2 linked regions of the Tamandua tetradactyla genome follow. The protein of the gene in region 1 interacts with the protein of each later gene in a pairwise test. Links are inferred from orthologs where the notes say so. Each region holds a gene or a part of one and is shown on either strand. Other genes may lie near its edges. The genes, in order: GRB7 and LAX1.

Region 1 (14,947 bases):
CGATGTGTTTGATGGTGACCTGGGAATGGGAGCAGCCAAGGGGCTGCAGAGCCTCCCCCATGACCCCAGCTCGCCACAGCGATACAGCGAGGATCCCACAGTACCTCTGCCCCCCGAGATTGATGGCTACGTTGCCCCCCTGACCTGCTGCCCCCAGCCGGGTATGGAACGAGCTGAGAAACTGGGAGGTAGGGAGGGGGCAGCCAGGTCTTCCATGCCTTCAGCTCACTGTCCACTGGGAGGGGCGGCGGCAGTGGCAGGGACACCTGAGTTCCTTCCCCTGACAATTCCCTTCTCTTACCCTTTCAGAATACGTGAACCAGCCAGAGGTTCGGCCACAGCCTCCCTCACCCCTGGAGGGCCCTCTGCCTCTTTCCCATCCTGCCAGTGCCACCCTGGAAAGGCCCAAGACTCTCTCCCCCAAGACTCTTTCCCCTGGGAAGAATGGGGTTGTTAAAGACGTTTTTGCCTTTGGGGGTGCTGTGGAGAACCCCGAGTACCTGGCACCCCGGGGTGGAGCTCCTCCACCTCACCTTCCCCTTGCCTTCAGCCCAGCCTTTGACAACCTCTATTACTGGGACCAGAACCCATCTGAGCAGAACTCACCACCTACTACCTTTGAAGGGACCCCGACAGCAGAGAATCCCGAGTACCTGGGCTTGGACGTGCCTGTGTGAGCCAGAAAGCCAAGCTTGCCAAGGCCCTGCTGGGCCCTCAGGGAGTGGGAGGGCTTGACTTCAGGAGAGGAGAGGACCTCTGACCATCCAGAGGAGCATGCCATGCCAAGGACCTGTTCTAAGGAACCTTTCTTCCTACCAGCATTCCCAGGGGGCTGGGAGGGGCCCGGCCTGGTTGGAAGAAGGGGGAGCACCGGGGAGTCTTGAGTGCTTCTTCTGGAGCCCTGCCCTACCAGATTGTAGGGTCCAATGGGTGCCACAGACACAGTCTCTTCAACCTGGCCTTCTTCCAGATCCCTGGTCCCGAAAGACTTGGGAACGCTGGGCCTAGGAGGGGAAGAGGCCCTGGGGAGTTTCTGAGAACATGAGCAATCCAATCAGAAACAGTGCCCCTGAGATGCAGCTCTGCCCCGAGGAGCTTGTACAGAGTGCCTTCTTGTTTGTTTTTACTTATTTTTTGTTTTGTTTTTTAAAGATGAAATAAGGACGTGGGGGGAGAGATGATATGTGGAAGGGGTTCTGTGGGGTTGGGGAAAGGGATGTCTCCCTACTCCAAACCTACCTTTTCCATTTGCAAATATATTTTGGAAAACACCTGGGTCCCAGCTTATGTGTGGGAGTGGCTCTGTGCCATCCCTAACTGCTCCCTTCCTTAACCTACACTCAACTCTTCTCTTGGAGCGGGTGGCTTGGAATCTCCAGAAAGCTTGACTAAGGGGACTGATTTTCAGTTCCCTGGCTTGGGGGGAAGGGAGGCATTTAGGAAACTGGGAATTTCACAACCAAATCATTCTTGCTTAGAACTAATTCCTAAAGCCACCCACCAGAGTGGGGCAATTTCCTCCCTCTGGGTAAAGAGGGTGGGGGATGGGGGAGAGAAGAGGCAGTGTCTACTTTGTGACCCATTTTCCCAGCCTTGGCTGTCAGAGGAACCCACAGAACTAAGGAACTAGCTAGAAAAAGCCTACCTACCCAGCATAGCCACCCTGCTGGTACAGGTGCCCCCTGTACCACACATCTCTGTGCTGGACATAAAACACATACTAGTTGGCACAGTGTTTGTAGTGCCCTTTATTGCCAATAGTTGACACTGCCCAGAACTGAAGAATAAATTAAAACTACAGTGGCATCTGACAGTATTGTCAAGCTGAGGAAGAAACTAGGCTTCTGTGGGCACTGCTTATGAGTAGGGAATATAAGGGGTCTGTGGAAATGTCCATGGGGAGGATCTCCTGTCCCCAAGACCACAGAAGCTTCTATTCCCCTCCCCTCCCTTGCATCCCAAGGGGCAAAATGGAAGTCGGGTCTGTTGCTTTCAGGAGCTCAGTGACGGAAAAGAGGCAGAGGAGGAGCCCCAACAGAACCAAAGGGGATACCAAGGCTTGGTCCCCAGAACAGAGTAGGAACCCAGGAACGTGTGCAGTCACAGGATGACGCAGGGAGGACGGCTGTTGGTGATCTTTTCTAGAGGTTCTCCATTACTAGCTCTTCGGATGGCCTCAATAAGCTAGAGAGCAGAGATGGGAATGGTGTGAGACACTGTAGGGACAGTGACCCAGGGGTTCTCCCAACACTGCAAATACTCACGTCTTTCTCATAAGGAAAGCCCCCGTTCTCTAGCTTGGAGAACACCAGCTGTCCATTGATCTCGATCTCAAAGGCCCCTGGTATTAAATGGATGAATGAATGGTATGCGGGGAGCAGAGGCAGATATCAAAGAAGGCTCTCTAAATGGATCCTCCATGCCCCCCATTGGCCCCATTAGAGACTCATTTATAGCCCCTTCCACCAATGTTGAGCCCATGTTAAAGGGACCTAGGGAAGATCCACCTGTGTCCCTCTGAAGTCTTCAACACCCGGTGGTGTTCTCTCTCCCCAAAAAACTACACTTTGGCAGTCTCACCGGTTTTTCCCTACAGGACTCATCTGTCTCCCCCACCCCCACTTAGGCCATTTTACATTTTACTGCTGGACACTATTATAAACCAGACAATGTCAGAGCTAGAAAGTGGTAGCGCTGGGATTTGGAACGCAGAATGACTCAGCAGGTGTTCTAAGGGCCTTACCTGTGCCCCCCAAGCGTGACTCGATCTCGATGCCAGGATACTGCTCCTTCACGGCGCTCGCCAGCTCCAGGTAGGTCGCCTCGAAACCGCAGGGTTCACTGGGGAGAAGGGATCTGGGGTCGGCTGGGGCTTCGGGTGTGGGGCTTCCCGTGAACCCATTCCTGTCGGGCCTGGGGCCCCCACCGGCCAGGGACGCTCACCAGTACTCTACCACGATGCGGACCCCACTTCCCGGTTCCACCTCCCCGGAAGGGGGCGCCACGGATATTGGCCCCAGCTCCCCACTCATCGCTGCCCGCTCTGCTCGGGCCGCGGCTTCCGGGTGTGACGCGGCGGCGCGGGCACGTGACGGGGCGGGGCTGCGGGGCCGCCGGGCCGGAGACCAGCGCTGCATCCGGGCGCCCCCTGCAGGTTGCAGCCGCTGTTACGTAATGACTCTCGCCCCAGTTCGCGGGCTCGCGTCCGAAGCTCCGGGCTCCCGGCCCGGGTTCTCAGAGGGCCGGACTTGCCCCAAACCCGAGCAAAAATCTTAAGACTGAAAATCCCTTTCAGTTTACAAAAAGGAGCAGGAAGCGGTAGGGCGAGCAGCCCAGGGTCTTGGGGATGGGTTGGATATGCCTGATGGTATGTGAAAGTTACCATTGCTCTCACTTTCTGATGGCGTTTTTCAGCCGCTCCAGAATTACCTAGCCAGGTACCTCTGACTCGGAAGCTCTAAACTGCCTCTCTTCCCTGCACATGGGAACCTCAGGCTTTGGGGCACCCGTTCCTCGGGCGATGCTTCCATCATATGTGCCCAGTTCTGGCAGACTTCCATCTCATCCCAGCCTCTCAGTACAGGCTGGGATCATTATTTCCATTTTACAACTCTGGAAACAAGCTGCCTAAGTCCTCGCTGCTTATGGAGTACCAACTCAATATCTTAACAGATCTCCCCTCTCTAGCATTCCTTCAACCCATTCATTTTTAGCAATTCAGTGATTTAAAGAGTTATGCAACCATCACACGATCCAGTTTTAGAACATTTCCATCAGCTGGGAAAGATCCCTCCTGCCTGTTTGCAGTTAATCCATGTACCCAACTCCATTCTTACCTGGACATTTCATATAAACGGATCACACAGTATATGGTCTTTTGCTTCTGGCTTCTTTTATTCAGCATGGCTTTGAGATTCATCCATGCTGTAGCATGTATCAATAGTTATTCCTTATCATCACCGAGGAGTATTGCATTTGTTTATCCTTTCGCCAGTTGATGAATATTTGGGTTTCCCGTTTTGGCTAATTTTGAATAATGCTGCTATAAATATTCGTTATGTCTTTGTATGGACATAAATTTCCATTTCTCTTGGAGAAATTCCTAGGAGTGGAATTGCTGGGTTAAAAGGTAAGTTTATGTTTAATTTTTTTTTTCTTGTATGCTGTGTGGTGGGGTCACATTCCATTCTTTTTCCATGTGAGTATCCTGTTACGACAGCATCATTTGTTGATTTTTTTTTTTGGGGGGGCGGGAGTACAAGGGTAAAAGGGCTGGGAATTGAACCCCTGTCTCCCGCATGGCAGACGAGAATTCCACCACTGAACTACCCTTGCACCGTGTATGTTTAATTTTTAAAGAAAATGCCAAACTGCTTTTCCAGTGGCTGTACCATTTTACATTCCAGCTAGCAAGGAATGAGGATTCCAGTTTCTCCACATCCTTGTTGACACTTGTTATTGCCTGTTTTTGATTAGCTGTCTTGGTGGGTGTGAGGTAGTATCTCACTGTGGTTTTAATTTCCATTTCCCTGATGACTAATAATGTTGAGCACCTTTTCATGTGCTTATTTAGCTATTTGTACATCTTTGGAGAAATGCCTGTTCAAGTCTTTTGCCCATTTTTAATTGCATTATTTGTCTTTTTATTACTGAGTTTAAGAGTTCTGTGTGTTTTAGATACAAGTACTTTATCAGATATATATGATTTGCAAATAGTTTCTTCCATTAAGTGGGTTGTCTTTTCACTTTCTTGATGGTATTATTTGTAGCACAAAAGTTTTTCATTTTGACGAGATGCAACTTATCTATTTTTTTTCTTTTGTAGCTTGTTCTTTGCTGTATCTAAGAGCTCTGTCTAACTCAAGGTCCTGACAATTTCTCTCCTGTAGTTTCTTCTAGGAGTTTTATAGCTTTAGCTCTTATATTTAGGTCTATGGCCTTTTCTTTTTTCTTTTTTTTTTTATAAAAATGGAGGTTTGTGTTTTATTCATGTCCTGTCATCCTTCTTCCTGACTCCAGGGGTGAGGTAGGACGGTTGAGATGGGGGGAAGGGGAGAGAGGCAGGAGGGGGCAGACTACAGCTGCCCTTTGTGGCCATATTCCAGTGTGGTGACAATGATGTGAATTACAGCTCCATACTTCCAGCCCAGGTCTCCACATCTCTGTTTCTTGAAGTACCTGGTTGACATTCTCCACCATCGCAGTCCAGTGGCCTGTCTGCTTGGCATATTGGCAGCCTGGACTGGTCTTCGCCTGGTGGTCTTCAGCCTCTGGTCCATGGAGGACTCGGCCACCCCCACACAAGGTGATCCACCAAAGCTTGTCAGGCAGGTCGTTGCAGTAATGGCCTCTCCCTTCCTCTTGTCCTATAGTTCCTTGCGTTCATTCAGCTTGGCCTGGCACTCTTTCCGCAGACGGGGCCACCTGGGTGCTGGGCATACCAGGACCACCCCGTTTCCAGGAGCTGGAACCTGCACTTTGCTCCAGTGGGGCCTGTCTCACATGACTGCAGTCTCTGTGCTCTATTCTGAGATACTTTGTGTGCATGGTGTGAGGTGAGGATCTAAATTCATCTTAAAGCATATGATGTTAGATTGTCTCGGCACCATTTGTTGAAAAGACTATCATTTCCTCTATTGAATTGTCTTGACACCTTTGTAGAAAACTGATTGACTAGAAATGCTGGGGTTTATATTTGGACACTCGATTCTGTCCATGGATGTATAAATCCACTTTTTTGTTCTTGTTGCTTCTTCTTTATTATTGTTAAAGAATGCAGATACGATTTATACACAGTAAAACCCACCCTCTTGAGTGTGTGGTTCTGAGGCCTCACCAACACACACAGTTGTGCATCCACCTCCAGGACCGTGACACTGACCAGCCCCATTCCCTCCCCACAGGCCCCTGTGCCCTGCTCCCATCCCTGCCCCCCTCCCCATCCCCACACCTGCTTTCAACTCCCTTCAGAAGCCGTACACATGGGCTCCTACAGCACTCAGCCCTCTGAGCCTGGCTTGCCTCTCCACCCCATTCCTCTCTACCCAGAGTCATCTTTCCTAGATGTGAATCTGCCTGCTGCCCTGAGCCTGGCTTGCCTCTCCACCCCATTCCTCTCTACCCAGAGTCATCTTTCCTAGATGTGAATCTGCCTGCTGCCCTTTGCCTCCACTTAAGCCCAGATGGCCCCTGCAGGGCTTGGCCTCTGCCCACTGCTCCCACCAGTCTGGACGGACAGGATGAATTGCTCTTCAACCCTGTTTGCAATAACACACATTCCTGGGTCCCAGCCCCAGAGACTGACATTCAGCAGGTTGGGAGGAGACCAGAGATCTGTTTGTACACAGGCCCAGGGAGATTTAGAGGCAGGCGTTTCACAGACTCTGCTTTGAGAAACATAGCTGAGAGCAGTCCACGGCCCTTACCTTTCCCCACACCTGCCAGGTCTTACCTGTGTGGCCTCATCTCCTTCCCTTTTCCTGCACCTCCTCTCTGCCTCTCAGTATGGTCTCCCCACCTGTTGTCCCCCAGCTGCACCCCAGTCAGCTTCCCTCAGCTCAATTGTCACTTCTACAGAGAAGTCTTCCCCACTCCTGTGTTAGTCATTCTCCCAGCACAGTTGTCACCTGTCATTTCTTATTTACTGGTGTGAGCCTTGGTTAACCTCATTCTCCCAGACTGAGCTGCCTGGGGATAAGGGTGGGGTCTGTTTTTGGTGCTGATAGCATGGGGCTTATCAAATTTGGGGCGTATCAAATATCAGCTGAACGAAGGAGTGGATGCTTGAATTGTCTGTCCACTCTGCGTTTTGCACAGTATGGTGACCTTGTCTCCCTCTCCCACCTCTTTGCTTTGCCTAGTCATACTGATTTTTTTCAAGGAATGCCCAGTTTGGAGAAAGTTGAGGCTGGAGCCACTCCTCTGCTCCCCCAGGGCACACCTTATCATCCTGTGGGATTGTTTGTTCACCCAACTGTCAGCCCATCAGACTGGGAAGTCCTCAGCTGTCTGATCTCAGCGCCTCTCCCTGTCCTGTGCTTGCCTGAGTCTCAACGACCCAAAGGGGTCACTCTGCAGGGTGGCCCCTGGCGACCTGGTCAGAGCTTTCTCCATATCACCAGCTCCTCCAATCTCACACCTACAATTTTAGATAGGATCCCACCTGCCCCCTATAATTTAGAGGGGGGAAGCTAAGGGTTTGGTTAGGGTTTGATCAGAAGGGAGAACACTCTGGGTGCCCCTGAGGTCAGGGTGAAGCCTACGTGTGATGCAGCTGGAGGTGAACGGGCAGGCCATGGTGCTGGACTCCCCTCTGGCTGCCTCCTCTCCTTCTCAGTGTCCTTTGCCCGAGGAGGTGGGACCTGGAGCCCCAGACAGGCCCCCTAGCTTGGCCAATAAACAGGCCAGGTTTGGGGAGTGGCAGGGGGAATAGTGGGTCCACGGTTTCCTTTTATCTTCCAGCCCCCAGCCCTCAACCTCGCAGAGGTTGTCAGGCCTCTTGATTTTCCCTCGATGTTGTTCTGTGCCACTGTCTTCCCCGCCTCTCTTTGGGCACCTGCACCTTCCCCTGGCACCTGCTGCCAGGCTAGGAAGGGCGAAAACAATCCCAGGCGGCGTTGAGTGTCAGGGAGTCTCCGCCCCCTTCTCCTTTGCTTCCTCCTCCCAGGCCCCGCCCCCAGGCCCCGCCCCCACCTGCCCAAGATAATTTTAGCTTTCCTGGGCCTGAAGTCTGGACATACAGGGCTCCCCGCCGACTTCTACGTCCAAAGTTTGGACACCCTCCCACCACCTGTAGAGAAGCCGGAGCGGATTTGCAATCATACCCAAGTGTCCCCGGTTCCTAGACAGAGCCCGCCTTGGGACCCGGTGTCCGACTCCTCCTGCTGGGTCTCTTCTAGGTAAGGGGAACGAGATTGGTCCCAGACGACATCCCACCCCCACCCCTAGCTGCACCAGGGCCCCAGCCCGTGCCCGACGTGGGGCCAGCGGCTGGCTGGCTGGCTGCCCAGGTGTGGGGACAGGTGTGGGCTGGCTTTCCCGCTCCCCTTCCCTCTTGGCGGGGTCTGGCTAGGGCTGGGGGACGAGGGGTGGGGGGGACAGGTAGTTAAGGCCTGGCGTGTCTCCCCCTAAACCAGTGGTCCCAGCCAGGTACACCGTCATGCAGGGACCAGGTAAGGACCAGAGCAGCCACCTCACCTTGGGGGTGGAGACACCAGCCTGTTGGGGGTCCGGGTCAACCTGGAAAGCTTCTGCCTCCTGTTGTGTGGCTCCGGTGGCCTCACTGTTTTTTTTCCCTCCTGTCTCCCATCCCGCCCCTTCCTCCATCCTCCCCTACTCTCGTTTCCTGTCCTCCCAGCTCCTGGGTTTCCTCCCCACACCCCCTCACACCCTCTGGACATACCCGCTGATGGGGATGGGGAGGTAAGAGTTTGGATTCTTGCCTTTGGGAGATACCACTTTTCCCGCTGAAACTACTCCCTCCCCACACACCCTGCAAGAGAGGGATGGGTTCTGCCCCCACTACCCTCCCTCGCTCAGCCTCATTTGTCCTCAGTTTGGACAGATGTCTCCGCGGGAGCCCCCACCCCCACTCACAGGGCAGCGAAGGAAAGGTATTCTCTAAATTGCTGGGCCCCCATCTCAACTGACTGTGGCACCTGGGGGCCCAGGTCTGGGGGCCAGCTGCGGGACCCGGGGGTCTACCCGCAGCGGGCAGAAATTGGGGGGTGGGGCGGGGCAGGCCCTGGGCCCCTCCAGGCTTGGGAATAAAGTTGCCCAGGAAGGCTGGGGGGCTAAGCTGGGAGGGCCTGCTGGGTGGGACCTAGGGAGAGGGTGGGGGGCGTGAACGGTAGGCAACAGGCAGTCCCCCATTGGTGAGACTGGGGTCCGGGGCCTGAGTCTGCCTGGTGCACTGAGGACCAGGAATGCACCTGCCTGCAGGTGGGACGCCCTCCCCGCGGCCCCCGGGAGCCCCTCCCCCTCCCGGCCCGCCCGGCCTGGACTCTGCTGTCTCCTCTCCCCACAGCCGGCTGTAGGGTGGGAATGGGGGTGGGGGGGCATCTCCATAAAGGCGAGTGGCCTGTAATGATTAACTCCACAGACTGGGCCACACGAGACTTCTTCTTAAATTAAACTTTAAAAGAGCTGCCCCCTCCCCTCCAACTTTTCCCATTGGCTGTTTTCTTTCCTGAGTGAGGGTGTGGGCGGGGCCTCAGGGTCCTGGCTCCCCCCCCTCCCATTCCAGGTCACCTAGGGGTTTCCTGCCTCCTCCCCAGGGCCCTGCCTGGGCTAGCTTCCCCAAAGGGGAAGCCTCCCCCCGTCAGTGAATCCTGGGGGGGGGGGGGGAGGGCGGAGCGTGGAGTACCTGGCCAGGTGGGGCCCCCCCCACTCCCCCTGTATGCCCTCGGCGGACGCCTCTGCTCCTGCCCTGGGAAGTCACGAAGGTGGCCTTGTTTTCTGTTGGCTCTAAACACTGGGTCCTGTCACCCGCCCTTGGGGCAAGCCAGGTGGGGCAAGATTCAGGAAGTAAACCAGGAGGCTGGGCGGCCGGGCGGGAGGGTGGGACTGGAGCTGCAGGGGCAGGAGAGGCTGTTGGGGGAGCTGCGGCTTTGGAGGTACAGCGTTGAAGAGACAAACTGATTTCGGGGGTTGGTCTCTCCAAGGGACGCTTTCCTAGGGACCCAGTTTGTAAGCTCCAGATCTCTTGGGAGGAGGGGCTTCCCAGACCCCTCTGAGAGGACCCCTTTATCTCCACCCCGTCTGGGTGGTCCTGCCGGCCTCACTCCTTTCTGGCCCGGCAGGGGTGGGGGTGGGGGTCTGAAGAGTAGGTCGGAAGGAGCCTGAAGGCCTGAACCCGAGTCTTGAGCCTGCACTTTGGTCCTCTGATTTGGGACTATTCGGATTTGAATCCATGACACACCTCCCTGCCAAACACTGCCCTCCAGGTTCCTCCCGGGTGAGTGGGGAAGGACTGGGTCCGCTCCCCACCCCATGGTTGGGTAGCCCCTGCAGCCCCTCCCCGCTCCCCTCCCTGGAATGAGGTCATCTGGGCTCCATTGCCAGAGGCCAGCGGGGGCGGGGTTGGGGCATTGTGTTTTCCTGTTTCGGTACCTGATGTTTATGTTCTCACTGGGGTGTGTTTTGCACCCCCCCCCCCCCCCCGGGACTACCTCCCTGGCTGGCTCTCTCCAGGGCCTTCGCCCTGTCTGCTGGTCTCCACCTGCCCTCTTGGTGTTTTGACTTTCTCTTCTGGCCCCTGTGGTACCCCTTGGCCAGGACACACAGGAGGGGTGCGTGAGTGTGTAGGTTGGAGCCTCGTGACCTGGGGAGTGACACACACAGTTCCTTTTGGCTGGCTGAGTCCTGGGTGCTGGGGATGGGCCTCAGCAGCAGAGACCTGGTAGGGAATGCTGAGCGCTGCTCTGGGGAGGGATGGGGTGCCGCTGCAAGGCCAGCCCTGCTCCAGATGGGTCTCTGAATCCAGGCCTGGTCTTTCCTCTCTCCTTACTGGGCCAGGGGCTCCTGGGCTGGGTGGTGGCTTCAGGCCTGAGGTCAGGCCGGTTGTGGAATCCACCTGGACTGGGGGAGTCGGAGGTGGGAGGAGATGATGTCAGAGGATCCTCCACCAGGCATCCTCCTCCCTGCCCTGTGCCGCCCCCACTCCTCCCAGGATACAGTAGGTTGTGGCAGGGTGCAGGTGGGGGGGGGGGGGCAGAGGCAGAGCTGTTTGTGTTTCTCCTAAGCCAGGAAGTTGTGCAGATGAGTCAAGGTTGAATGGAGAGCCCAGGCAGTGCTGTTCCCACCCTGCCCTGACTCACCTGTCCCCCAAAGTCCCCCATGCTCTCACTTTAAGATCAGGTGTCTGCCCATCTTGGGGGCAATGCCAGGTACCCTAGGCAGCCTTTTAGGACTGGTCTGGCCAGTGTCCTGGGAGTGGACAGGGGCCTGGGAACCAGCTGGGATTGGCAAACTCTCCTGGGCAGATTCTCCCAGGACACAGCCCAGCCCAGGGGCCTGCTTGGTTCCTGCGGAGAAGGGGCCAGCACAGCCTCTACCCAGCAGTGGGCATCTTTTTCCCATCTTGACTTGCCCTGGGTGCCTGTGCAGCACCCATGGCTGGTAAGACACAGGTAAGACTGGTCTTGCCTGGGGATGTTGGAGTGTCAGAGTAGGGGGTGGACGAGACAGGCACACAGTCTTGGTGCAGAGGCCCCAGCACAGTGCTAAGAATGAGCTGACAGGCAGGATGTGGAAAACCCAGGAAGGCTGCTCGGAAGAGGTGGCACTGGGGCTTGAGAGATTTGGGCAGGAGGAGGTGCCTGGGTTGGGGTGCCAGATTTGGGGGCTGCTGGGGCAAAGTCCCTGAGGCGAGACCTTCCCCTCCCATCACAGCGAAGTCTGCCCTCCTGCCCTCCCGGTTCCAGTCGTGCCCTTCCCCACCCCCATCTCCCCTTCTGTGCATCACTCATCACTTGGGCAGGCGTTGCCACAACAGGCTCTGGCAACTGGGTCTGACAACAAAGCACTGGAAAAACCCGGGGCAGAGCCCAGCAGAGTGAGGGCCCCACGCTTGGAGGCAGAGAGGTGGCCCTTTGCACTGACACTGAGAGCCTGAGCCCCAGACAGTCTATGGGTTGTGCAGTCTTTGTTGCTGCTGCCAAGCTTGGGCAGGGGGAGGGGGCCCTCTTAGCCCTTTTTCCCTGGACAACTCAGGGCTAAAGGAAGAGCACTGAACTTGGAGTCCCAAACCAAGTTCCAGCCCCCTGACTCACCTGTAACCCAGGGCAAACATGCATCTTTCTCAGGAACTCCGAGTCCCCTTTTAAAAATTGGGGCCCGTTCTATCCTTCCCTGTGGAAAATCCAGTTAGAGGGGGAGCAGTGAGGTGCTGTGTGAACCCTGATAGCTGTGTGCAAGCAGGAGGTCTGGGTCCCCTTGGCCTCTCTCCCCAGGACAGGGACATATAAGTGCTGCATTCAGCTCCCTCTTCTCCCTCAGATGTCATGGAGCTGGATCTGTCTCTGCCTCATCTCAGCAGCTCCCCAGAAGATCTTTCCTCAGCCCCTGGGACCCCCCCTGGAACTCCCCCACCCCTTGATTCCCCTCTGCCCGGGGAGGTGAAGAAGTCCCAGCCCCTGCCTATCCCCACCAGCAGGTACAATGGGGCAGTGGGGCTGGGAGGGGCCGGGGAGGCAGGTCTACGCCAGGTAATATATAGGGGATGACAGCCGACTCTCCCCCACCCCGGCCCCCATAGGAGGCTTCGGGAGGAAGAGCTACGGGCAACCTCTCTGCCCTCCATCCCCAACCCCTTCCCTGAGCTCTGCAGTCCTCCTTCACACAGCCCCATTCTTGGGGGATCCTCCAGCACAAGGGGTCTGCTCTCCCGAGATGCCAGTCGCCCCCATGTGAGTTTTCCTGGGAAAGAAGGGAAGGCAAGAAGGGGGAGGGAGGCCCTGGGGTGGATACAGCACTACCTTGGGTGTGTGTGGATGTGTGTGGATGTGTGCGCGCGTGTGTGTTAGCACGTGGGGAAAGGGAGAGAACCATCCTTTGATTTCCCCCAGATCATTTGTAATCCCTGGGCTGCAGGTGGTCAAGGTGTACAGTGAAGACGGCACCTGCCGGTCTGTGGAGGTGGCAGCGGGCGCCACGGCTCGCCATGTGTGCGAGATGCTGGTGCAGCGAGCCCATGCCCTTAGTGATGAGAACTGGGGGCTGGTGGAGTGCCACCCCCATCTAGCACTGGGTGAGTTGGGGTGCAGAGGAGCTGCCTGGATGTGGGAGATGCCTCACATCTCAGCCTAGGCACGTGGGTCCTCTGGGGGTGGGGGTGGGGGGCCTGGCGGGTCTCCACTGACCCCTGTCCTTTGCCCTTGACCTCAGAGCGGGGCCTGGAGGACCATGAGTCCGTGGTGGAAGTGCAGGCTGCCTGGCCCGTTGGCGGAGACAGCCGCTTTGTCTTCCGGAAAAACTTCGCCAAGTATGAGTTGTTCAAGAGTTCCCCAGTAAGTGTGTGTGAAGTTCTGGGTGCTGGGACACCCCCATTTCCAGCTTGGGGACCCACGATCCCTGACCTCTGACGTCTTCCTTTCCCCAGCACTCCCTGTTCCCAGAAAAGATGGTTTCCAGTTGTCTTGATACACACACGGGCAAATCTCATGAAGAGCTCATTCAGGTGAGGGGACCCCCATTTCCCCTCACATTCATGCCCACGCCCACCCCTGCCCCAGCATCCCCCAACGCTTCCAGCCCTTAAGACCTGTGCCTCCCTCCATGAGGTGGAGAGCGCCCAGCTGCCTTCCGGGGCTGTGGATAAGCCACTTCCCTGGCTCGTGGTTCCTTCTCTGCAAAATGGGGACGATAAATGCACAGGGAGCACCTCCCCTGGTAAAGGGTCCCCTGAAGTCCTTGAGGTGGGTCCTGCCTATCCCCTCCACGCCTCTCACCCTCCGCCTGCTCTCCTCTGGCCTAAGAACTTCCTGAATGCGGGCAGCTTCCCTGAGATCCAGGGCTTCCTACAGCTGCGCGGATCAGGACGCAAGCTCTGGAAACGCTTCTTCTGCTTCCTGCGCCGGTCTGGCCTCTATTACTCCGCCAAGGGCACCTCCAAGGTGAGGGCTCTGTGCCAGCCCCAGCCCCAGCTGGGGCTTCCCACCTCTAGTCCTTCTAGAAGTCACCCACTCCCTGTCAGACCCGTGGATCACCCCTTCTGGGCCCTGAGACCCTCAGCTGCTCTGTCCTCTCCCCCGGCTGACTCCCTCTGGTTTCTTGCCCCTACCCTCCTGCCCAGCTTACCCGCATTGGGAAGGGCAGGTGTGCTGTGTGACCTCAGACGCTTCCCATCCCGTCTCTGGGCTTGAATCTTCCCCCCTGGTTTACGGGGCTGGTAATGGGGGCATTGGGTCTGCCTGCACCAAACTGGGCTCACTCATGCCGCTCAGGACCCCAGGCACTTGCAGTACGTGGCAGACGTGAACGAGTCTAATGTGTACATGGTGACCCAGGGCCGCAAGCTCTACGGGATGCCCACGGACTTCGGCTTCTGTGTCAAGGTGAAGACCCTGGCCTGGAAGGGAGTGGTTGCTGCTGTGGGTCCTGGATCCTACCTTGGGCTTCTGAGCTCCATTCTGGGCCACCCAAACTCTTCTCCCTGCGCCCTGTCCCAGCTGGAGAGCCGTTAAGTTCTGCCTTGCTCCATGGAGTTGGGGGACAGATGTCTGGTCCTAAAGATAGATCTGGGACCAGCTGCTTTCCTCTCCCTGTAGCCCAACAAGCTTCGGAATGGCCACAAGGGCCTCCGCATCTTCTGCAGTGAGGACGAGCAGAGCCGCACCTGCTGGCTGGCTGCTTTCCGCCTCTTCAAGGTGAGACCCTGCCCCTGGGATCCCTGGCATGAGGGGTGGCACAGCCCTGCTCTCTGAGCACCCCTGGTGCAAGGTCTGGAGTCCCAGCCCTGGCTTCAGGAAGTTCCCTACCCAATGGCAGAGACCCTGCCCTGCTCTTGGGAGTCACAGCCCGGCCCCAGGACTGCCTGACCTCAGGCCCTCTTTCTCTCCCCACCCCACTAGTATGGGGCACAGCTGTATAAGAATTACCAGCAGGCCCAGTCTCGCCACCTTCGCCCATCCTATTGGGGTTCCCCACCCTTGGTGAGTGTAGAGGGGGCACAGTGGGGGGGGGGGGTCCCTGGGTCCTGTCCCGGGGCCACCTCAGTCCTGTACTGACCCCCTCACCCCATCCTATCCCACCTCAGAGGAGTGTCTCGGATAATACCCTGGTGGCCATGGACTTCTCTGGCCATGCTGGGCGTGTCATTGAGAATCCCCGGGAAGCCTTGAGCGCAGCCCTGGAGGAGGCCCAGGCTTGGAGGGTGAGCGGCCTGCAGCCGTCCGCATGTCTGTGCTGGGACCCCCTCTCCCTATGGGAGGAAGAGAGGGGCAATGGG
Region 2 (15,419 bases), on another chromosome or scaffold:
GAGAAATGCAGTGATTGTAGCCCAGCTGCTGAGACTATCTAACTGATTTGGCAATGGAGTAAGTGTCTTCATTTTCGAATTTGTTGTGAAAAGAAGAGTCATTTGGGAATCCAGAGATTGAACTCAAAGGAATGGTATTAAAAAAAAAAAAAAAAGGATATCTCATTTTGAGCTTTGTTGCAAAGAGCCTGGCCTGGGAATTTGCAGGCCTATATTATAATCCTGGCCCTGTTGCTGATTTGCTACATGATCTAAGGCTCTTTCCAACTCTGACACTCATCTTTATCTACTAGTGTCTACTAGTAGTCTAAAATTGCCATTAATAACCAATGAAGAATGTCTAAATGGCATTTCTGTTTTGTTGCTTTACCTCCCCTGAATGTAGCATCATTCTGTGTACATGGAACACTGTGTTCAGAGACATGTGCAGGCAGGCTTCACTTAGCGCTTAGCCACTTAATATGTGCAATCAAAAACAAATTTTTGATTTGGGCAATGGTGGCTCAGTGGCAGAGTTCTTCCCTGCCAAGCTGGACACCCAGGTTCGTTACCCGGTGCCTACCCATGCAAAAAAAAAAAAAAAAAAAAATTGTTCCACAATCCTTAAAATGCAAGAAATATCCTTTTTTTCTTTTTCTAGATCAAGTCAAATCTAACACTGAACTAGCTAGATCTTTGAAAAGTCTTTCTCAGTCCAATTTTATGGTCTCATCTCCTTCCCTTGAATTGGTTCACTCACTCATTTAACAAATATCTGTGCCAGGCACCACTGTATGCACTGGGGATACAACAGAAAACAATGCTAAATTCCTGCCCTTGTTGAACTTCCATTCTTGTGGAGAAGAGACGAAACAAATACATATCGGATCAATAGTGGTAAGGACTGGGGAAAAAGAAAAGTGGAGTAAAGAGAACAGAGGAGCATGGGTGTTGCTTCTTCGTGTAGAGTAGTCAGGCCTCTCTGACTAAGAGACATTTGTGATGGGACCTGAAGGAAGACCTGTGTCACTCTGCCAAGGAAAAGGATTTCAGCAAAGGATACCACAAGTGCAAAGGCCCTGAGCCAGGAGACCTTGATTAGTCTAAGGACATGCAATTCCACGTTTGTAATTGAACGACTAAGTGGGTCAGTTAAGGAGATACATTCAGAGAGGGAGGAGTGTGGGGGTGGGGGGGAAGAACCTGCAAAGCATTAAAAGGTTGGCTTTCGTGAAATAAGGATTCACTGGAGAGTTTAAGCAGAGAACGGCAATGATCCATCCTGTAGTTTAATGGGAATCACCCTGCTGGTTAGTGGCTGCCGTCTAGGGAAAAATGAACAAACCAGGCAGCTTTAGCTAGTACACATGCCATACATGGGCTGAGGCTCCTGCTAAGGGATGAGGTAAATCCAAGCCCTACTGCTGTGCTGTGGTTCCTACAACACACAGAATAGCAGAAAAAAAAAAAAAGATATTCAAAAAGCTATGAATTTAATTAAGGGATATTGCTTGCTATATATAGCCTGTTCAGGAAGCCCTGGTGAGTAAAGTGATATTCACTCACATAAGAAGAGAACAAGGAAAACCACTTTGATCTGTCTCTTCTCTGTTCAGGCTCTCTGCCCTCCATGTCCCCCTGAGACACACAGTGCCCACATCTGATTCCTTCCTGACCACTCGCCTGCTCCCTTGGCTGTGTTCCTAACTGACCTTGAGTTCAGAATCTGCCTATGACCTCAGGGAGGGACACCCACTCTCGCACAGCTTTGGGGATGAGGGAAGTCTTGGAGCTGTCCGCAGATGTTTTCTCATCTGGACATGCTTTGCAGCCATTTCTGCGCTGTGGCTTTCCAGCTAGTATGACTCAAGGGGTGTTGGAGAGGCTGCCAAACATAGAACTGCAGAAGGACCTGGGGGCAGACGTCCACTCTGCTCTCAGGGCTCCCGGACTCTTAGCTGTCAGAAGTATCAAATTACCTCCTCCGCTGGAGCTCCGCCTAAGGGCCTGTTGTGGGGTAAGGAGCCTAGAATTACTGTCCTCTAGCCTGGCTGTACTCCTTGATTCTGAATTCTCGTCATTCTTCCCCAGGGTCCTGGAAGAAAGGGCGTGTAGGGAACAGAGAAATGACAGATAAATTACTCTGGCTCATCAAGAGTAGTTTCTAAATCTTTCTGACTTAACCCTGCTCTCTCACAACTTTTAACTTAAAAGAAAGGTATCTGCTGCCTTCATTTTCTGCTTCAGACTTGTCTGGACTGGAGAAGGCCTCTAAGATGCAGGCAAAGGAATGAGGAGGGTTGGGGTGGCCGCCACGAAGGCTTTGCCTGTCCTTCTGCCTTGATTATCTCGGACCTCCCTGAAACCTTCAAAAACAAAGTCTAATTGAGGGGTTCTTTCTCACAAGGAAATTTGGATATTTGTTGGCCTAGAAATACAAAAAGCTGCAGTTAATAATACCTTCCCTAGGACAAAGCAGCTCAAACACACAAGCCCCAGCTGTCCTTCCTTGGAGGGGCGAGGAGGACTGTGCAAGGATTGTCTTGGGTTTCTTTGGTTGATGAGTTACAGCAGGAAAACAATACTAGATACTGATTTATTTTTCAGTATCTCACCCTGTTACAAACGTATGTTATAAATTCAAGGCAGCAAGAAGCACCTGAGAGAACTTCTCTGAGGGCCTTATTAACCCTTACGGTCAGGCACTGTGCTAAATACAGGTAAGCAAGAATGAAACACAGTCCCTATCATTAAAGGGTTCAGAGTCCACTCAGGGAGTGTCTAAGCAAGTACTCCCAGCAACTTGAGACACTGTAAAAAGTTGCTTGCAGAGTGGCATGGAGTTAATTGCAGGAGAGAAAAAATGCAGGGCTTGGGAAAGGAAAGCTTTCCAGAGGTGCTGACATTTGAGTCATATTCTCTCTTTTTTTTAATAACAATTTTGTTTTTTATAAAAATCACACTTGGGTAGTGCAAAGGTGTCTCAGTGGCAAGAATTCTTGTCTGCCGAGCTAGAGACCTGTGTTCAATTCCTGGAGCCTGTCCATACAAAAAAAAATTCTTTTGCTATAAAGATCACACTTGCTCATTATAATAAATTCAAGCAATAAAAAAGAATGCTAAAAAGAAAATAACAAAATACCCAAAGACTCACCACTCAGAAATAACCCGAATAAACTTTTTGTTTAAATAGAGTTTTTTTTTAACTTTTTAAAAAATACACTCAATTTTTTAGAGCAGTTTTAGGTTTACAGAGCCATCCTCTCCCCTCACACACACATATAAATTTCCCCTACCATTAGCATCTTGCATTAGTGTGGTATATTTGTTATAATTGATCAACAAATATTGATACATTATTAATAACAAAAGTCTACAGTTTACATCAGGGTTCCCTCTTCGTGTTGTATGGTTTTATGGGTTTTGACAAATGCATAATGTCATGTATCCACCATTACAGTATCATACAGAACAGTTTCTCTGCCCCCAAAATGCCCTGTGATCTACCTGTTCATCTCTCTTCCCCTTTCCCCTGAACATCTGGTATTATCTTTAAAATGTGATTTTACTGGAATTTAGCAAGAGAAAAAGAAACATGTTAAAATGAGTGAACTCGTCCAAAGGCTCAGAGTGCAAAAGTGACAATGACTAGGTCTGCATGTAAATGCAGCATGCATGGAAGAGGGGTGGTGAGTGAAGACAGGCCACTCTACAAGGGCAGGAACCCTCATCTCTGTTATTTACAAACCTAGTGCCTAGTGTCCTGAGGTAGGAGACTTCTCATAAATATGTGTTGAAAGAAGAAGGTGACAAATGGAAGGCAGAGCAAGCATTGAGAGAGAAAAAAAGAAAGGCCAAAGAAGGCAGTTTATTCAGTATAAAGAAAATAAGGCTAATGTCAGAATAATATGTAGCAGTCCCCATTTAATAGCTTTTGCACATGCCAACTGTGGTGGTTTGAATTGCATACCCCCGTTTGGACACGTTATTGGTTTTGGCCCACATTCTGGTGGGTGTGGATCCATTGAAAATAAGAACTCTCTAAGATGTTATTTCAGTTTAAGGTGTGGTCCATCTGAATTAGGTTGGGCTTTAATCCAGATCCCTGGAGTCCTTTATAAGCAGAGTGAAAGTAGATGGAGAGAAGCCATGGGGAACAGCCTGAAGTCAAAAGAACCTAGAAGAGAAAGGAGAAGATGCCACCATGTGCACTACCATGTGACGGAAAATGCCTACATGAAAGAACCCCATAGACTGGTGGCCAACCAGCAGATACCAGACTCAGGATGAAAAAAACCTTCTAGCCTCTGAAGCCATGAGCCAATAAATTCCTGTTGTTAAGCCAAGCTTTTTTGCAGTATTTGTTTTAGCAGCAGGGAAAGTAATGCATCAACTCCAAAGCCAGGCAGTTTGTCTTCATTTTTACAAATATCAAGCATCTTTCATTGTTAACCAATAGGCAAGTACTATTATTATTGTCATTTTACTTCCAAGAAAATACCCGAAAGATTAGATGACCTGCCCAAGATTCTCTACATAGTAATTTATGATTTGAATTCAGGTTGAAACTCTTAACCACCGCTTCTGTCTTCTCAAAGAGGACTTCTGAAAGGTTTTCTGTGTTAGCAACATCACCGAATCAGTGTGAAGCCCGTCCCCAGAAATCTTAATATTTTATAATCATACATTTAACAACATTAAAAGGGGTTAAAGGGAAACATTAGAGCAAACAGTTTTAAGACATACACCCTCTATCCCAGGAACAAATGGTTTTCTTCCACTATTACAATTAACAATTTCAGACACCTACTTTCTGTTTTAATTTGTTAGTTTGGTTGGGTTTTGCCCCATTGGTAGGGAAAGGAGAGCAGGATGGAGGAGAGATCAGCCAAGTCTGCAGCCTGGAAGCAAAAGACTTGCGTAGCCTCCTTTGAGGAGGGAGTTTGGATGCAGAGAGATCAGAAGACCAGAGGGAATATCACTTTGTTTGGAGCTAGCTGAGTAAATAAGAGAAATGAGGCTCTGAAATGGTCACATGTAGGAGAAAGTTGTTGTAGTTTTAAAAAAAAACTTAAGTAGCAATCAGGTTTCCTAAGTGGAAGGAGATGTGGTTCTGAGATTTGGTTCTACCCACCTTACCCTGTTCCAAGTTCCTGGTCATACACAGTCCCTTACCAGACCTGGCTCCAATGGCTCAGGATGGGGTAGTGTGGTAGCTAGGTTCGGTGCCAACTTGCCCAGGTGATGATGCCCCATTGTTCTGTTTCTGATGCCTTAAATCATCAGTATGTGAAATTCATCTATGGCTGATTGTATTTGCAATCAGCTAAGGGGCATGCCTTCTATAATGAGTGAGGTTTAATTTAATTAGCTGGAGGCTTAAAAGAGAGAGGTCAGAAGAGAGCTCAATGCAACACAGCCCAAAACAACTCAACATACCTCATCTCAGCACTCACAGCTCAGCCCAGATGTTTGGAAACATAGAAAAGAATCACCCCAGGGAAAGTCGCTGGAACCCAGAAGCCAGGATAGAAGGCCAGCAGACATCACCATGTGCCATCCCATATGACAGAGAAATTCAGATGAAAGCTAGCTGCCTTTCCTCAGAAGAACTATAAATTTTTAACCAAATAAATCCCCTCATTAAAAGCCAATCTATCTAATGTGATGCCCCAATATATTCCAGAGTAACTTGGGCGATGAGTAAAGAAGTATTTGCAAGGTTCGTTGGGGGAATGGGGAGAAAGGAGGAAATATTCAACTTCCCCATTTGGAGAAACTCTGATATTCTCGCAAGCAGTGGGGATAACCAAATCAATAGGCCAAGCCCACAATTTTGGGGTTCACCCCTATGAAACTTATTCCTGAAAAGGATAGACTAAGCCTACTTAAAATTAGGTCTAAGTTATTTCTTAGCACTTAATATTTAGAATTTAAGAAACTCTACCATATTTATAGATATACAATAAGATGCTAAACCCAGGAACTGCTTTTACAGTAATAATTTTGAATGTTAATGGGCTACACTCACTAATTAAGACACAGATTGACAGATGGATTAAATAATATGATCTACCTTTATGCTGCTCAGAAGGGACTTATCTTAGACTCAAGGATACAAACAGCTTGAAAGTGTAAGGATCGAAATAAATGTTCTATGAAAGCTGTAATCAAAAGAAAGCACAAGCAGCTATAATAAAATTAGATAAAAAATATTTTAAATGTTATGATATCCTAAGAGATAAAATTTTCATATGTGAATTGTAAAAACATTTGTATCTTGATATTTCTCTGAAATAAAAAACTTGAAAACTCACACACACACAAAAACTAGGCCTAAGAGTCTCCCCCAGAGAATCTCTTTTGTTGCTTAGATGTGGCCTTTCTCTATAAGCCCACTCAGCAGGTGAACTCATTGTCCTCCCCCATACATGGGACATGCCTCCCAGGAGTGTTAATCTCCCTGGCAAGGTGGGACAAAACTCCCAGGATGAACTGGAACCCCATATTAAGGGACTGAGAAAGACTTCTTGACCAAAAAGGGGAAGAGAGAAATGAGACAAAACAAAGTTTCAGTGGCTGAGAGATTTCAAACAGAGTCAAGAGGTTATCCTGGAAGTTATTCTTATGCATTATATAGATATCCATTTTTTAGTTTATGGTGTATTGGAGTGGCCGGAGGGAAGTACCTGAAACTGTTGAGCTGTGTTCCAGTAGCCTTGATTCTTGAAGACGATTGTGTGTGAAGATTTATCAATAAAAATCTTAAAGAAAAAAATAAAGCTGACCTATCTCTTGTGTGGTCCCTTCTAGCAGCTGTGGCAAACTCAAACAGATAGCCTCTCTCTTTCACCAGTCCCAGTCACCAGTGTGATGGAATGAAGGATCTTATTCATGGGAAAGTCCTAGCTCTTCCTCATGCCCAATCCACAGAAGAAGTCAATACAGAACCTGGGTTCACCTGGGACAGCCATCTCTAAGTCTTCTTTGCTTCCTGCCAGCCAAAGCTCCTCGGAAGGAGGCAGTAGGCCCTGGAATGGCAGAGTTCCTCAGGAGAGCCTCCAGGGCCAATCTGCAGCCCGTGGGAGTGTGTTTTAATTTGCGAAAGCTGAAGAAATACAGTATGCCAGAAATGGGATGCTTTTTGCTATGGGGATATATTAACTTAAAAGTTTGCAGTTCTGAGATCATAAAAAATGTCCAAATTAATTTATCAAAAGAAAGATATATTCTCCCAGAAGATCAACTATTGGCGATCCTCAATTTCTCTGTCAATGGCCAGACACATGGCAATGTCTGCTGGTCTCTCCTTTTTCTTCAGCTTCTAGCTTCTGGCTTCAGTGACTTCCTCTCTGAGCTTCTGTGTGCCCTTCTCTCTCATCTTCTCTGGCTTTCTTAGCTTCTCTGGGGCTTTTTTCTGCATGGTGTCTGTCTTTTATGCTCTATAAGAGACTCCAATAAGAGGAGTAAGATCCACCTTCAATGAGGCGGGTCACATCTCGATCAAAATAACTTCATCAAAAGGTCCTCAATGTGGGACATGACTCCCAGGGACGAACCTGGTCCTGGCACTCTGGGATCGACAATGCTTTCCTGACCAAAAGGGGAAAAAGAAATGTAACAAATAAGGTTTCAGTGGCTAAGAGAGTTCAAATAGAGTCAAGAGGCTATGCTGGAGGTAACCAAGCTTTAAGTAGATGTTGCTAATTACCACGATTTGCCAAACCCCAACCAAAACCATTCTAACCAAACCTGAAGAACACCTAGAGCTTGATTTGAGATTCTACAAAAGTTTCACAAACTAAGATTACTTTCCAGAAACCTCCAACCTCCAGACAGTTTCCTAGGCCAGGTAAGTCTTGAAACCCAGAGGGGCTTCTTCAGAACATCAACTGATTCCATCCCTCTGCCCCATATTATCAATACCCCTTCCAACATGAAAAAGGTAGAAAGGGCAGAGCCCAAATACCCCTAAAGATTGGGAGGAGGATCAAAGGAGAAGGAGACATTATAACAGAGAAGATAGGATTTAATAAATGAGTATGACTGCAGAATCATTATATTGATTTTTTTATGTCTCCTGTGTCTTAGAGCAGCTAGAAGGAAACACCTGAAATTGGAGAACTGTAGCTCATAAACTCTGAAATCTGCTCTAGCAAGTAGTACATCTACTACTTGCTACGATGTACTTTGAAATTTACTGCTTTTTTGGCTATGCATTTCAAAATAAAAAATGTTCAAAAAAAAAAAGTCCCACCTACATAGGTCTACACCCACAGGAATGGATTAGATTTAAGAACATGATATTTTCTGTGTCAAACCATCACAGGGAGCCTGCGGGAGCCTGGATTCAGGGCAGGGGCTTATGGCTCAGGGAAGCAGAACACCTTGATGTCTACTGGGGATGGTGAAGGCTCTACTTCACATCCTCAAAATAGTCTTAGTACCCTTTCTCCTGGAGCACTTCCAGGATGCAAAGAGTAGACTGGTAGAGAGAAGAGGGAAAGAGAGTTAGAAACAAATCTTGAGCTATCTTTGAAGTTGGGATACTTTGGGTAGACACCTGGGATGAATTACACATCTTCTGAGACAGGTGTCCAATAAGCAAAACTGTTATAGATTTTTCTCAAGACTCCTGAGAACAGGAGATAAGCAGTCTGCAGGAGCCTTTGAGGTCATGAACCTCTGAAAGCAGAACTTCAGGGACAGCAGTTGGGAGAATTAGCCTCCAAGGGCCTAAGAACCCAGTATTAGCTCCATTCTTGGTGTAATACCCAGAGCACATTTCTCAAAAAGTGAAAAAACAGACCATCTCTACCAAAATCACAAAGTCGCGTCTATTGGAAAAGCCATTTAGCTGGCCACATTTGCATTCTCCACCCACTGAATCAGAAAGGCAGTGCCAGAGATCTGCAATTGTTTCTAAAAAGCACCCTCCCGTGCTCCTTAGATCTACTGCATATACATATTAACCTAGAGGTTACAAAACTCTAAATGTCTCAGAAACCCTGGAGGAACAATCACAAAACCCCCACCATGCTGCCCCACTTTTGATCACACTCATCCAGACCACAAGCACCTGGGAGGCGCAGGGTGGGTGGAAGACATGTTTTCTGCTCTTATTAAAAGCTGAGCAGCATTTCCTGTGCCCCATGTTTCATTAACACATTGGTTGGTGTCGCTTCCTGTGACTGACTCTCTCTTTCCATTCTGACTCTCAGCTTAAGGGTGGGGGAATGAGCTGCCCATGGAGCCTCTCCTGGGGTTCTTGGCAGTTCCCCTCTCTGTACCCCTCGCCCTTCCACCAGAAGGCAGAGACCATGGACGCTCGCTGAGCCACCTGCTTCACGAGCCCAGTGCTGGGATAAGACCTCACCTTCTGCAGTGGCCATCATAGCCACTTCCAGGTAGAACCAACCTGTCGTTTTTGCATGTTGCGTCAACTCAGCCTGACATTTCAGGAGCAAGGACTGGGCGGGGAGTTTGTTGGGGGAAAGAAAGTTCTAGAAAGAAAGATTGTGCGCTTTAGAAAAAAATATAAACCAAAAGACTTTTTTTGAGAGAAAGACTAAAAAGTGATAAACATTTAAGAACAAGGAATCTTTCTTTTTTTTTTTTTAATAATTCCACTCTAGATTTTGCCAAATTATACAGTCAAGGCTTTAAGAACAAGAAATCTTGAGAGTAAAAGCTATGATTTAGGGAGTACTTGGAAGAAATGGAGATGAGAATTTCTGTCATTTTTACATCATTGCTAACAGAGTAGTTATACCCCCACAGGACTATATGCGAAACACAAACCAATTTGCCTTCTCTCTTGAGAGTCAGCAATTTAGGAAGAGCCAGGAAAAGAGACAAGCATGTTGGCTGGTTGATTATGATCAAGAGAAGTCTTAGGAGAAGCTGAACCCTGTGACAATGGATGGCATCACCCCAACCCTTTCAGAAATCAGAGGAAGGACCTTGGAGCCGAGCACTCTGCGGGCAACTCTTGGCAACCTGAACGGGTGAGTGACTTAGGGAGGTCAGCTCCACCATCCCTGACCAAACACAGGGTCCTAATCTGCCCTTGAGGGCTTCTAACACAGCTGTGCAGCCACGCTCACAATCAGGCTCAGGTCCACTGAGACCATCAAACTCTGGGTTCAGAGAAGTTTGCCCAGAGATGCTGGGAAGAAAGGAAGAGATGTTGAGGAGAGAAGGGAGTTGTTGGGGGAGAGGAAAAGCTATGCTAACACAGGATTTCCTTGGAGCCAGATGCTTGGCCTAGCTGTTTTTCTCACTTCTTAGAGACCCTAATCTCTGTCCTCAGTCTATCCTATCCTATCCCATGATTATGGAGACAAAAAGACCCACTTTCCCCAATGATTTGTTTTTAGGTCCTAAAGACTTGCCATGAATTAAAAAATTAATAATAGATGTAATAAAGACATGTCTTTAGGATATAAAATCTCACAGAACTAATCCATGATGTAAATTTTAATGCTAAAGCTTTCAATCTCATACAAGTGAAACATCAAATATCCATCAATACTTGAAACTTTAGTAATATCATAGGTATAAATGTCAGTGCTATGATAACTGAATCCCATGACAATAAATTTTAAGGTTGTCATAGTTTTTGGAAATAACTGTTATTACTATGACAAAAACATTCCACTCACAGGCAGATATAAACATGGAAGTTGTCAGAACCCTGCAGACCCCCAAACTATTTCTGTATTCATTGATTTATTTGTTAAAATTCACTCATTCACTTAAATATTCACCAGGCCCCTGCTGAGCCCCAGGCACTGTTCCCAGGCACCTCCTTGGCAGGTGACTCTGATATTATGAGGGTAGAAAGACTGCTACTGAATTCCTGTTTCTACTTCACTTGGCTGCTTCATTTTACAGTAGGCACAGCTGCCTGGGTTGTACTCACCTGGATGCATTTCGACACCAAAGAAAAGCATAGTGTCACTAGGTGAGCAGGATAGATCTCCAGAAATCTCTGACCTCGAGAAGCTGACAGTCAAGGCAGGGAGGCCAATGATAAACAGATAAACCAGTGAATATATAAATGTATAATATAATATTAATCAGTCATAAATGCTATGAAAAAAAATAGAGCAGGGTAAGGAGACAGAGAGCAATAAGATGTGGGCAGGGAAAACATGCCTGGGGTGGTGACATTTCAAAAGAGAGCCGAATAGTTGAGGGAGTGAGCCATGCCCACAGCTGGGAGAGGAGGGCTCCTAGGAGCAGGAGCAGTGGGTCTACGAGGCTGTGTTTGGCATAGGCAAGGAACCACAAGGCGTCTTAGTGGTCAAGGTACAGAAGTCAGAGGGCAAGTAGTAGGAAATGAGGTTGGAAGGTAGACAGAAGCCAGACCATATGGTGTCTTAATTAAATTCTCATTAGGTCAGGACTACGGATTTTATTCCAAGTGTGATGGGAAGCCATGGAGGATTGCAAGCAGAGGAGGTACATTATCTGATTTACTGTTGAGAAGGACCACACTGGCTCATGTGTGAAGATAGTAGGTTGGGAGCAAAAGTGAAAGCAAGGAGTCCAGCGAAGGAGGTTTTGCAAAGGTTCACTTTGGCTTAGACCAAGGTGGGAACAGAGGAGTAGGTAAGAGGTGGAAGAGTTTGTGACTGATGCCCAGTGTCGGGCAGACAGAAATTGCTGATTGACTGAAAGTGGGGCATGAAAGAAAAAGAGCCATCAAGGATGGCTCCAAGATTTTGATGGCTCCAAGGGTTTGAGCCATCAGATAATGAGTGATACTGGGAAGGAGCAGGTTCATGGGGAGAACAGAAGTTTTGGATATATTTGGCTTGAGATGTCCATCAGGTAGCCTAGTAGAAATGTCTAGGAAAAAGCTGGATAAACAAACCTAGAACCCAGGAGGGCAAAACCCTCCTTGGCAGATGACTCTGATATTATGAGGGTAGGAAGACTGCTACTGAATTCCTGTTTCTACTCACTTGGCTGCTTCATTTTACAGTAGGCGCAGCTGCCTGGGTTGTACTCACCTGGATGCATTTCAACACCAAAGAAAAGCATAGTATTACCTCCAGCCCTGCTGGGAATTACAAAGTAGCACAGAACTCGTTCAGTACATTTGCATTGGTTAAATTTCACACAACAGCAGAGTGTTGCTTGGAGACTAGTTCCACATGTTGGTATGTGGTGGTTACTCAAGTTCATACAAGCTGAACTGTCACAGAGCCACTCCCTAATGATGAGCTGGGTCATCATCCTCTTTTCCGTGCAAGCCAGAAAGCCCAAGAGCAGGAAATGGGGGAAGCACGAGCAGAAGGACTTGACTTTCTAGGTTTGGAGGACAGTGGGGCAGGGTGGGGTGGGGTGGGGCATGACCTTTGGACCTGAGCAGATCTAGAATCACAGTCCGTCTCAGTCACTTAGCAGCTGGGTGGTCTTTGTTGTTACCTTACCTCTCTTACTCTGAATCTCGTGTTCCTTGACCACTAAGGGAGAAAGTATTATAAAAGTTAAACAGGTTTCACATGGAAACCCTGGCACACAGTAGGCATTCAAGGGGGGGGGGGGGGTTGGTTCCCTTTATCCTGTGTCTAAATTCCATCCTTCTGCGAAGTCAGTATTTAGAGGTGGCCCCTCTCTCTGCCGCACGGCCTTTCCCACCTGGGCTTTCCATCACTCGCCCTCCTCTGATGGGGTGCGGCGCTTGTTTTTTTAGACGTGAAGGCCAGAGCAGCGGCATCTTGTTCGGGTTTGCTGCCTTCCTCACCGTCCTCCTGGTCATTGTGGTTTTCTGCATCCTGAGGAACTGGAATAAGCGGAAGAAGCGTGAGTCCTTTGTTCGTCCCGCGTTGAGACACTCTAGGATTAATAATCAAATTCGACATTTAAAAAACAGTTTTGCCCATCTACTCTCCCTCACCAGGTTATTTTCCAGGGATAAACGATTGCACGGGTGGCGGGGAAGGGGTGGGCGATCCTCCCTTCTTATCCGACACCTGGATTCTTTGTTCTTCTCTGTCTCACTCGAGATACTGACCAGCGGTACGGAAATGCTGAGGGCTGATGTGAGTTCCATTTTGAAAGTCATTGGCCTGGTGCACTTATGCCCCAGGTTTCCCTTCTGTCCACTGAGTCCCCTGCTCTTCTAGATCAAATGGGATTGGCCAAATCCGAAAATGTGTATTTTATGATTCACGGAGAGGGTGGGGAATATTTTTGTTCTGTGCCTCTGCCCCCTGCAGCAACCCCCCTCACCCATTGCCTTGCAGGGCCAGTTCCTTACCTCCAAGTCACCCTCCTGCCCCTGCTGACCCTGCCTCGACCCAGACAACGAGCCAAAAATATTTATGACCTCTTGCCTCGGAGGCAAGAAGAGCTGGGTGAGTTCTTCCCTCTAACCTGGGGAGTCCAGACACACTGAACTTCTCTCCCCAGGAGGCCCCTCTCACTACTCAGAAGTGACTTGCTCTGACCTTGCAAACCTGTCTCCCTTTCAGAGAGCACCAAGGAGAATGGGACAGACAGACGGCAAGATACAGCTCCAGTGGGGGCCTAGGAAACTCTAAAAAGGAAGCAGAGACTCACTTGGGTTGGGAGATTTGGTTTTTCCTTAGCTTAAGTTAGCAGAGGAAAGGTGGGAGTGTCTAGGTGTCATAACTGAGAAATCAGGATTTGAGGGATGATTTTGATTACTGAATCATTATCTAGATATTCCTTTTTGCTTTCTGGTATATTGGAGTAGACAGAGGGAAATCCCTGAAATCTCTAAATTGTAATCCTGCTGCCTGGATCTCTGATAATGATTGTATAGCCTTGATCTTCTGCCCCTGTGACTGTAAAAATCTTGTGACTAACCTTCATTCATACCCAGTTATCCAGTTTTTTTACTTTAGACTCTTGCAATCACTAAAATTAGTCCCTAATGTTTATTAATGAAGGGTCATGGGTCAGCCCAGAGCTAACCTACTCCAAGTCCAAAGTTATGTTGATAACCGAGACTGGACCTAACCAAAGTGGGACTGCCTGATTATGCACAGTAGCTTAGATTTTAATCTACAAGTCACCTGTACCTTGTCCCGCCATTTTCTTACACATGTTCTGTGACTAAGCATGTAATCAATATGCACATGCTCAATAAGTAAATCACCACTAATTATATCATCTGGGGCCTCTGTGCTCATTATCCTAAACCCTGTTTTTTTTCTTTTATAAAACTGTCAGAATTACTGCTGTTCAGGGAGACAGATTTCGGGCTGCTAGGCCATCTGCTCTCCTACTCTGAGCCTAGTAATAAACTCTTTGAAACCCTGACATCTCAGGAATTGGTTACTGGGTGCATCGGGCAAAAGAATCCATGGCCTTTGTCCAAGAACAGCATGGGGAAGCCATGCGGGAGGAGAGCACGGCCACCAGGACTGAAGGCTGGTGGGCCTTCCACATAAGCTTCCTTCCCACCACCCCCAATCCCTGTGCTGGTGTCCTCCAGCACCACAGAAGCCGAGGAGGGGCCCAGGGTTGCAACCCCCGAGCATGGGCCCCTTTCACAGACCCCCAGGCCACAGGCTGGAAATGCCAAACACCCCACACACCCAGTTTCACCCAGGGTGCAAAGTCCTCAAAGGACTGGCTAACTATCTTCAGAATTTGTTCTCTGTGCTTTCAGGAAGACACCAGTCAAGGAGTATCCGAGTGTTCAGTACTGACAGCCTCCTCTCCAGGAATTCTGATAGCCTTTCCCCTGAGTACGTGGTAAGAGCTAAGTGAAAAGACAAACCCTTGTGAGAAAGGACGTATCTCTGAGAGAAGAACTGAGGCAAAAGCATTCTAGGCCTGGCATCTCCTTTCACCACAGACAGTGTGCCCTTTGGCTCGCGCTCCGTAGCCCTATTACTAACTTGGGAAAACTAGCTGCAGGACCACCCTACTGCCCAAGGAGGAAAATTAAAGAAAGACAGAAACGAGTGCTTAGCCTTTTAAGAAAAGCATCAAGACACATGTATTTAAATACATGACGTTAGGACTGAAATTGATTGCTCTAACAAAGGCATGCTAACTTGCTTACGCAAATGCGTGTGTCCTCTTCCAAGTCACCACTTCAGAAGTGTACACAAATATCCCAGCAGTGCTGTCCACACTCCAAACATGCTTACAATCTTGGTTTGGAAATTACTTCTAGGGCCCATGCTATGCTGTTTCTAGTATCTTCAACCATAGAAATATTCGTCAGTCATTCAGCACTGTTGGTGATGTATAAAGTGTTGGATCACACTGGAGATACCTTTGAGGTTACAAAGAGAAGATTATGATTAATAACAATAAGCCTGTGTCTTATGACCTGGCCCTGAAGGCAGCTTCCGAGGAGGAATCCAATAATAATTTTGTGCAGAGACAACTAATTTATAGTAAAGGGACCCCTTTGGAGATCAGGATGCTCATTTTCAAAGATAAGT

Evidence for each region.
Region 2: the proteins of GRB7 (region 1) and LAX1 interact in binary tests that used the Homo sapiens proteins (3 or more experiments, as listed by UniProt). The two-hybrid records come from large-scale screens. The link is inferred for Tamandua tetradactyla from reciprocal best matches to the Homo sapiens genes GRB7 and LAX1.

The regions. Positions count from the first base shown.
Region 1 is NC_135332.1:27,549,103-27,564,049, reverse strand, and holds the start of GRB7 (growth factor receptor-bound protein 7), read left to right. Parts: upstream 1-7,728; 5' UTR 7,729-7,898; intron 7,899-8,554; 5' UTR 8,555-8,563; coding exon 8,564-8,612; intron 8,613-9,572; exon of another isoform or gene 9,573-9,614; intron 9,615-11,997; coding exon 11,998-12,154; intron 12,155-12,256; coding exon 12,257-12,407; intron 12,408-12,591; coding exon 12,592-12,748; intron 12,749-12,885; coding exon 12,886-13,007; intron 13,008-13,099; coding exon 13,100-13,177; intron 13,178-13,475; coding exon 13,476-13,613; intron 13,614-13,943; coding exon 13,944-14,054; intron 14,055-14,267; coding exon 14,268-14,366; intron 14,367-14,570; coding exon 14,571-14,651; intron 14,652-14,755; coding exon 14,756-14,872; intron 14,873-14,947. Other genes in the region: ERBB2 (receptor tyrosine-protein kinase erbB-2), read left to right, coding at 1-188, 310-677; MIEN1 (migration and invasion enhancer 1), read right to left, coding at 2,101-2,184, 2,265-2,341, 2,744-2,841, 2,944-3,032. UniProt on the Homo sapiens protein: Adapter protein that interacts with the cytoplasmic domain of numerous receptor kinases and modulates down-stream signaling. Promotes activation of down-stream protein kinases, including STAT3, AKT1, MAPK1 and/or MAPK3. Promotes activation of HRAS.
Region 2 is NC_135330.1:61,100,572-61,115,990, forward strand, and holds the start of LAX1 (lymphocyte transmembrane adapter 1), read left to right. Parts: upstream 1-9,139; 5' UTR 9,140-9,386; intron 9,387-9,803; 5' UTR 9,804-9,897; coding exon 9,898-9,986; intron 9,987-12,685; coding exon 12,686-12,795; intron 12,796-13,238; coding exon 13,239-13,349; intron 13,350-14,632; coding exon 14,633-14,718; intron 14,719-15,419. UniProt on the Homo sapiens protein: Negatively regulates TCR (T-cell antigen receptor)-mediated signaling in T-cells and BCR (B-cell antigen receptor)-mediated signaling in B-cells.